Rattus norvegicus: one gene and its partner. The protein of the gene in region 1 interacts with the protein of each later gene in a biochemical or structural test. Links are inferred from orthologs where the notes say so. Each region holds a gene or a part of one and is shown on either strand. Other genes may lie near its edges.

What was found. The genes of interacting proteins can lie anywhere in the genome.
Region 2: of the proteins of Mapk3 (region 1) and Ptprj, one has a biochemical effect on the other in vitro, tested with the Homo sapiens proteins (2 studies listed by IntAct, with this or other methods). The link is inferred for Rattus norvegicus from reciprocal best matches to the Homo sapiens genes MAPK3 and PTPRJ.

What each region holds. Positions count from the first base shown.
Region 1 is NC_086019.1:190,795,789-190,800,039, reverse strand, and holds the start of Mapk3 (mitogen-activated protein kinase 3), read right to left. Parts: upstream 2,847-4,251; 5' UTR 2,813-2,846; coding exon 2,640-2,812; intron 1,723-2,639; coding exon 1,540-1,722; intron 1-1,539.
Region 2 is NC_086021.1:97,014,849-97,019,056, forward strand, and holds the start of Ptprj (receptor-type tyrosine-protein phosphatase eta isoform 2 precursor), read right to left. Parts: upstream 2,809-4,208; 5' UTR 2,801-2,808; coding exon of another isoform or gene 2,465-2,800; coding exon 2,369-2,464; intron 1-2,368. UniProt on the Homo sapiens protein: Tyrosine phosphatase which dephosphorylates or contributes to the dephosphorylation of CTNND1, FLT3, PDGFRB, MET, KDR, LYN, SRC, MAPK1, MAPK3, EGFR, TJP1, OCLN, PIK3R1 and PIK3R2. Plays a role in cell adhesion, migration, proliferation and differentiation.

The sequences.
Region 1 (4,251 bases):
ACAGAGAGCTTGACCGTACACCAGAAGGTGGAGAACTGAGAGTCCTTTTATACTTGAAGATAAAACAAAGACTAAACACAAACAAATGTCATCTGGCTTATCTTTGGAAGAGTAATCAGGAGCTGGGCAGAGTACGTCACTCCTACAATCTCAGCACTTGAAGCAGAGGCCAGAGGCTTGCCTAGAAGTTTAAAGCCAGCCAGGTCTACAGAGTTAGCCTGAGGCCAACCAGGGATACACAGTGACACTTTCTCAAAAAATGAAGTCTGAACTGTCTTCCACAGAAGACATGTGAGAGCTGGGGCTGGTGGCACCCAGGATCTCTATGAGTTCAGGGCTAGCCTGGTCTACATAGGGAGACCCTTTCTCAAAAAGAAGAAGAGAGAACAAGCATATGCAGATACACACACATGGACCAACCCTGCCGCTTTACAAATGTGGAAGTCCGGAGGTGCAGAGACCTGCTGAAGGTCATGCAACAAGACAGGAGTAGTCGATTTCCTGTGGTCAGAGCTGCAGAGGCTGCAGAACAAATCCTGGGATCGGGAGGGGTGGGTAGGGAAGAGGCCATGGGTGCTACAGTCTACTAGCAATGGCGCCAAGCAGGAAGTACATGTGGACAATGAACTAAATGTCTGAACTAGGCAAGCAGTGTCAAGCAAGGGCAACAAGGGCTGGACTACCTTTCCTGGTCAAGGTACAAGGCCGCAGGTAATCAGGGTGGGGCTCTCAGAAGAGTGGGAAGGCTCCAAGAAAGCCAACTGGGGAAGAAGAGGAAGCAACAAACAGGAACAGCTGAATTTAGGCTTTCTTCTATAGGCAGACTCTCAGGGCCCCTCGTCCTTCCTTGAGCCCCTGGCTAGACCAGGAGTGCAAAGGCGTGGCTCCGCCCTGTGAGTCTAGGGTCTTCAGGTTCCTCCTCTTAACAATGCAAGGTGGTGTGAAAGCCTCCACCCTCTCCACGTTGGAGAAAGTATCGCCCCTCCCCCACAGAAGGCCCAGCAAAACACAGAGCCTCAGTTTCCTCATCTTAGAAATGGACGCGGTAAAGCTCATCACACAGGGAAGCTAAAAGGTTGAATTAGAACCAAAGCGCTAGGCATGCCCAATGCTGGTTTTCTTCCTCGCTTTCAATCCAGTGTGAGGTCTCTAAAGAATCGTGAGTCTGTTGAGCAAGAAAGGGCTGTGGGCAGAGACTGGGTCATGTCACAGAACTGCAGATGTCAGAAGACAAAGCTCCCATAGAGATGGTTTGCCCAGCATTCTCCCCTCCCCACACACCATACTGGGGCACAGAGCAGAAAAGGATGTGTTCAAGGCCACTCCACTTGGCTGCAACAGACCAGGATCCAAGGCCTGCCAGGGTGCTCTTCTGCTCCGTAGACTCTCAGCTAAAAAGTTACTTTGCTGGGTTTTTAAGTTTTTTGGTTTTTTTTGGTTTTTTTTTTTTTTTTTTTTTTTGAGGGTGGCACAACAGACGACAACAGAAAGCAAAGCCAAGCTCCTTAGCCTCGCTCTGGAGCTGTGGCTAAAGGATACACATCTCTCATGGCTTCCAGGGTGGGTGCTCTGAGGATGTCTCGGATGCCTATGACATTCTCATGGCGGAATCGCAGCAAGATCTGGATTTCTCTCAGCGTGCGCTGACAGTAGGTTTGATGCTCGAAGGGGCTGATCTTCTTGATAGCCACTCTGGTCTTGCGCACGTGGTCATATGCTGAGCTGAGAGAGCCAGAGAGATGTGTGGCCTTACAAAGGGGGAATCCAGGCCTGGTGGCCCCACCCAGGCCTTGGCAGGGACCGGAGAGAGCAGGAGAGGGTTCTGGCCAAGTGTAAACAATGCTGGCTCCTTCCTGCTGTGAAGGCCTGGAATCTCCAGGGGGAAAGCTGGGGACCAGCCAGGCAGCCTTTCAGTGACTTCACAAACAGAGGAAGAGAGTGGCCACTCACTGACTTCCTTTCTCCTGGACCCTCTTACATTGTAGTTGCCCTCACCCTCCTCCCCTTTCCTGAGCTGGACTCTCTCAATCCAAGACAGGTCCAGGGGATGGGAGTTAAATGGAGAGAGTGGATGAAACCCAGAGGATTCAGTAATGGGACAGGGGAAGAGATAAGAAGGGGTAGGTCTGTCTCCCGGTGAGGTTCCTGGGTCAGAGCTGTTCCCATAGGAACAAAGGCCCAGAGCACAGAGTGGGGCAGCGAGAACTCACAAACCTGTATCCCACAAAATAAGGCACATTCTAGAGACCCCTCCCTACTTTGGGCCTCTGGCAAGGCCAGGGGCAGGGGTGCAAAGGTTTGCCCCACCCTGAGCTTTGCTCTGCTCTCTCAAACTCTGTCACAACCTCATCAGGGGGGAACCAAGGCTCCCACTACCTGCTTATGGGTCTCTCACTCCCCCTTCACCAAGAATAGTCATCCTCTTAGCTCCACCTGTATCTCTAGGGTCCCCCAGGTGCCCCTCCCTTAACAATACAAGGTGGCTTCCAAGCCTCCAACCCCCCTTCCCGGAGAAAGTAGCTCCTGGTCCCCCAGAAGTCACTGCACGATCCCTCCCCTGCGACACTCCCCGGACCCCATGTCCCGGGCACGCACCTGCTGTCCCCGCTCTGAAGCCCCCTCCTGGGACACCCCCTCACCTGACCATGCCGTACGCGCCCTCGCCGATGTACTGCAGCTGCGTGTAGCGTGGGCCCACGTCGAATGGCTGCCCCTTCACCACCTCCACCTCCCCGGGGACCACCGGGACGACCCCAGCAGTTCCCCTGGGCTCCCCGCCCCCGCCCCCCGGAGCCGCCGCCGCCGCCGCCATCTCCACTCCTCCCGCCTCCCCCCGCTGCCCCGCCCGCGGCCCCGCCCCTCCCTGCCGCCCTGTCACCGCGGGGCCGCGCGCCAGGCTCCGCCCCCGCCCCCGCGCGCCCCGCCCCCGCGCCTGCCCGGCGAGCCTGCGCGGGCCCGCGATGTCACGTGGTCTACTGAGAGCGCGCCCGGCTTTCCCGCCTAGTTACGCTGTTCCTTCCTTGCCTTGGCCACTAGGGTACTTTAGTCTGCCTAGAGAGTACTGCAGCCCCAGGGGCCAGTGGCCCTGAGTGATGCTGAGGGAACCCACCCCTAAACTTTGGAGACCTGCCTCTCACTTTTTGTTTCATTTACGCAGACAGTATTAATCCAGGCCAGCCCCAAAGGTTCTATGTGGTGGAGGTTGGCCACATCCTCCTACCTTTAGGCCTGAGCCATCATGCAGATTCTGGATGTTAGGCAAGAATCCTATCACTGAGCCACATTTCCATCTTCTCTCTCTCTTTTTTTTTCTTTTTTTCTCTTCCTTCCTTCGTTTCTTCCTTCCTTCCTTCCTTCCTTCCTTCCTTCCTTCCTTCCTTTCTTTCTTTCTTCCTTTTTCTAAGAGGGTCTCTTGACATGGAACTGGCTGTCCTGGAACCCACTATGTAGACCAGGCTGGCCTCAGCATACTAACTCCCCTGTGCTGGGATTAAAGACTGTATCACAATGCCCAGATTCCATAATTTCTTATTCGTTTATTTGCCACATTTATTAATTTTGTGTGTTGGGGCATGAGTATGTCACAGAGCCTGTGTGGAGATCAGAGGATATCAGATTCCTTCTGCTGTGCAGGTCCTAGGTATCCGACTTGGGCTGTCAGACTTGGTAGGAAGTACCCACGTTTGCTGGGCCCCCCTGTGGTGGTGGTGGGCTTATCCTAAGTGTTATAGTGAGGAAGCAGTCTGAAGGGTGGTGGATGGCAGGCAGCACTAGAAAGCTGTGAAGTCAGGTATGCTCCTGTGAAGAGGCAGGCCTGCAGTGGGCTCAGGTGTGTTCTGAGACCCAGTGTTATTGCCTGGAGGACATGCAACCCAGCCCACTTCATATGAGAAGGAGGGAAAGGGTGATAACTGTGAACAAAGATAACTAAATCAATTAAAATGTACAATCTGTTTCTCTCTCTCTCTCTCTCTCTCTCTTACACACACACAGACACACACACAGACACACACAGACACAGATACACACACACACACACACACACACACACACACACACGTGCGCGTGCCAAACAGCAAAATCAAGACCCTGGATCGAGGCTAGTAAGATGGTTAGGTAAGCAAAGATGTTACCATAAGAATGCTAAAAATTTTTTTTAAAGATTTATTTATTTCATGTATGTGAGTACACTGTAGCTGTCTTCAGACACACCAGAAGAGGGCATCAGATCCCATTACAGTTGGTTGTGAG
Region 2 (4,208 bases), on another chromosome or scaffold:
ATGCCTGTGCAGCAAACACTCTTACTCAATGAGCCATCCTGCCAGCCCCTGAAACTATCTCTGAGTCAATTCAAAAGCGCAGTGCTTTTTTGGGACTGAGAATATAACTCAGCGGTAGAACATATCCCCCACCCTGGGTTCCATGCCCAGCGCCGCACAAGAGAGAGGGGGGGGGGGCGCCAATTCCCTGTAATAGTCCATATCAAAACGAAACTGCTGAATATGAGTTTTGGAGGTATTTCTTCACAAAACCTTTTACATTTCCTATTTTGTAATAAACACAAAAAGAAGAATATGAAGACAGTACTCTTGAGTTTCTACAGAACAAACTAGAGGAAGGAAATTAGAGCACATACAAGGCAAGAGTCGAGTAGCAATGTGCTAAAGAAACACAAGGAAGGGTTGGGCAAGAAATAAATTTACCCAAGATACTTTTTGCTGATTCAAAGCACAGCTTGCAACGTCTATAGTTGAAACAAAAGTAGGTAATATATATATATATATCAAATTAAACTAAAGAGAAATGTAGCTCAAATGTTTCTATAATACAAACTTTAGTTAAAGAGAGTTCCAAGACAAGGCCATCCCTGAACATGGAAAACGAAGGCAAACAGATCTCAATGAGCTTGAGGCCACCCTTGTCTACATAGTGAATTCTTAGGGGAAAGGGAGAGCTCAAATATGAAGCAGTCCTTTTTCTTTATCATCAAAGACTGTTGTGAAGACAGCCCATCCACACTGTTCCTTAATGTTAATCCCATCTGGAAAGGCATATTATGAAAAGTGATTTTTTTCTGATACAAAATTCTTTCACACACGTCCAATGGAAGCCCTACAAGCAATTCTACTATGAAATGATGTGACCCCCCCCCCACCTCACCCCCATTCTGCAGATGCTTTCTGCTAGAGGTGGAAGTGGGGAAAGGGGGCAAATTCAACTCTGATTCTTCTTCAAACTTAGCCCACAGCCTACTCCAGTAAATAACTATTTGCTGGGGACAACACCACATTCCAGGCCTCCTTGAGTCCTGTGCAAATCCTGCTCTAGAAACTGAGTGACCCTTGCTGACAATGAGGTCAGGCTCCAGACTCAGGCTCCCTTCTTCTGCTTGCCTGCTCCGCTGCCCAGTGCCTATGTTTCTTCTAGGACGAGTGTGTGTGTGTGTGTGTGTGTGTGTGTGTGTGTGTGTGTGTGTGTACACATGTGTGTACGAGTGCGCATGCATGAGAATTTTTCCCTTGAAAAATTCCATCCCCAGCCTCTGCTTCATTTGTGTCTCACTGTCTGCTTGGAGCTGGTATCTATGAAGAAAGTGAGACTTTCTTTCATTAGCAAAAACTAAGACAAGAGCATCCATCCCCCAGGCCACTTTCTGCAGCCTGCAGGGTTCAAGACCACAGCCAGTTCCCAGAAGGCTGTGAGGCAGAACTCGCTTGCTCAGCTCCCGCAACACCAGCTGGGTGATTCCACTCTTTCACTTCTCTCCCTCAGTTCCCTATCTGCGAAATGGGAATGTCCCCAGGCTGCCTTGCATCACACCTCCTGCCACGAAATACCACAGAGAGAAAAGATCCAAAATTCGAGTCCCACCATTATTGAACAAAAGTGAAGCAAGAAAAAAAAAAAAAAAAAAAGGTCTGGAGGGGAGGGGGTTAGCTAGCGCCCACAAAGCACCAATACACACCCAGAAAAGCCAGCACCATCTCAGGAGCGATGATGAGAACAGGGCCAGCAGCCTCAAGGGACCCTTTGAGCGGCCACCTTGGCAAGACTGGGAACTTTCCCCACAAACAGCACCCTCCATTCTGAGGTCCGGCGCTTCGCCCACCGCCCGACTGCCCAACGCCAGGGCCTGTCCCCAAGCACTCGGCGACCGCCACTGCCCTTCCGCCCAAGCTCTCCGGGCCCCTCCAGGCCAGGTCGTAGGTCGGCCTTGGCTCAGCCAGGCAGGCCCTGCTCCCCATCCACAGCCCTCCGCAAACACGCCCCCTCCGGCCGCTTCGGGCGCGCGAGCAGGGCCCGCGCTGGCCAGACCTGACCAGCTCCGGGAAAGGCCGGGCCAACGCCGCCTGCAGCCCATGCAAGAGCTTCCATGGAAGAGTCAACGGACACGGCGGGGAACACCCTAGGGACCCCGGAATCTCGCCCTTCCCATGGCACCCGGTAGTCAGGGAAGGGGCTTGGTGGCGGGAGCGGGAGGCTGGCCAAGATCCCTGCCAGCCCCCTCCAGGAGGAAGGCTCTCAAGACCACGATCTCTTAGACCCTCGCCGGGTATTCCTGGAGCGGGTGACACTCGGGCAGGTGCAGGCGATGCCAATTCGGCCCGCGTCCTCCCACCACACGCCCAGGCCCACTCGAAGGCTTACCTGGCCCTGGCGTAGCAACAGCAGCAGCGGCAGCAGCGCCCAGCGGAGCCCGGGCGAGCGCGGGGGTGTCCGCGTCTCCCGCGCCGCGGGCTTCATGCCCTGCGCGCCCTGGAACGTGCCCGGGACGCGCCCCGCCGTGTGCCCGAAGCCGGGCGCCCTGGTCTCCGCCTCCAGCCGACGCCTCCGCCTCCTTCTCCGCCAGCCGGTCCGCCTAGTCCCCGCTCCGCCCGCCCCGGGCTTCCCCGGGGACATGGCAGCGGCGGCGGCGGCGGCCACACGGCGGAGCCTAGCGCTCCTAACGCGGAGCGGCCGCGGCCCTAGACACGCAGGGGCTTCGCGGGGCGGAGCAAGCGGCGCCCACCCCCCGCGCGTGGCGTCCAGCTCCGGGCTCCCGCGGCCCCGGCTGCTCCCTCTGCCTCCTCCGCGCGTCATGCGGCTCCGGCTGCAGGGAGCCGCGCGGAGCGCTCGGCCCCCTCTCCTCCCCTCCCCCTCTGAATATTCATCGCTTCCTCCCGCTCGGGCGGGCCGGCCGCTGCCGTGCTCCGCGGCCCCTCGCCGCCCTCTCGCCGCGGCCCCCGCCCCCAGCGAGCTGGCGGCGGGCGGGGAGTGGGCGGTGGCGAGCCCGGTGCACGCTCTGGCGTCTCCCCTCCCGCGGCCAGAGGAAGCGCCCCCTCCCTGCCCTCCTAGCCCTCCCACATTCCTGGGACTCGGGACCCGGGACGCTGCTCCACTGTTCCAGAGCTACGAGCTAGTATAGATGGATCAGTAGGGACTCTTCAGCCTGGGACTCCCTCCCTGGCTCCGGCTTGAGGCTACCTCTTGCCCAGGTCACTGCCTTGCTTGCTTCTAGACCGTACTCCGGTGAAGCCTGGCCTGTGGGTGGGCTTTGGGGGAGGGAGCGGGTGAACCCCCGAAACTATGGGAAGCACACCATGTATTCTGTTCTCTCCCCAGACGCTGGGCCAGGAAGTCAGAGAGCCGGCACAGAAGCTGGTCTAGTGATTAGAGCCCCAGCTGTGGCATATGGCAAGCCCAGCTGTGCTATATACTAACTGTGTGATCCTGGTTGTGTGACTTGGAGAGAGATGCTTCGCCTCTCTGGACCACCCTTTGCTCTTGTGTAACGGGAAGATACTACTGATACCTGTCTACCGAGACTTGCCTGGAGATTAGAGATCAGGATAAAGTCCCAAAGAGGGTGGGACACAGAGTGAGCCCATCTGGCAGCTGTCATCACAAGTCCTGATCTGAAAGGAGTTGCAGATTACCACGAATATTGCTACTGTGCTCAGGCTCACAAGAGGAAACCAAAGAGCTCTATCGACTGCACCAAGAAGTAATGAGAGACAGTACCAAACCAAGGCAAGCTAGGGAGGGCAAGATAGGGAGGGCTCCGACCAGGGGAAGAGGTGTCACCTGAGCTGGGCTTTGAAGTGTGGTTGGGTTTCACCGGGCAGAGAGAGGGAAGCAGTGTGGTAGGAAGTGGGAGCAACTTGGCAAAAAAAAAAACAGAAGGCAGATTCTTCAACCTTGACCTTCTGAGAAACAGGAATAGGAAGCTGAGCATTCTGTTTGGGAAGACTTGCGTAGCCAAGATAGTGAAATGAGTCTAGACCACTAGGTGTCCAACCTGCCTCCAGGCGTCCCTTGGATCTCAGAGTCCCAGCTTACACAGAGACAGGAGTAAAGGAGAAAATAGTCACCACTGTCCTTTTGTATTTTGCATTTGATTAAAAACTTGCTGATTATCACAGCCCACGAGGAATTCTGTTCCTCCCTGTCTCACCCTTCTTGAAGCAGAAACGAATGTCTTTTAAAAGCACTGACACCACCCAGGCAC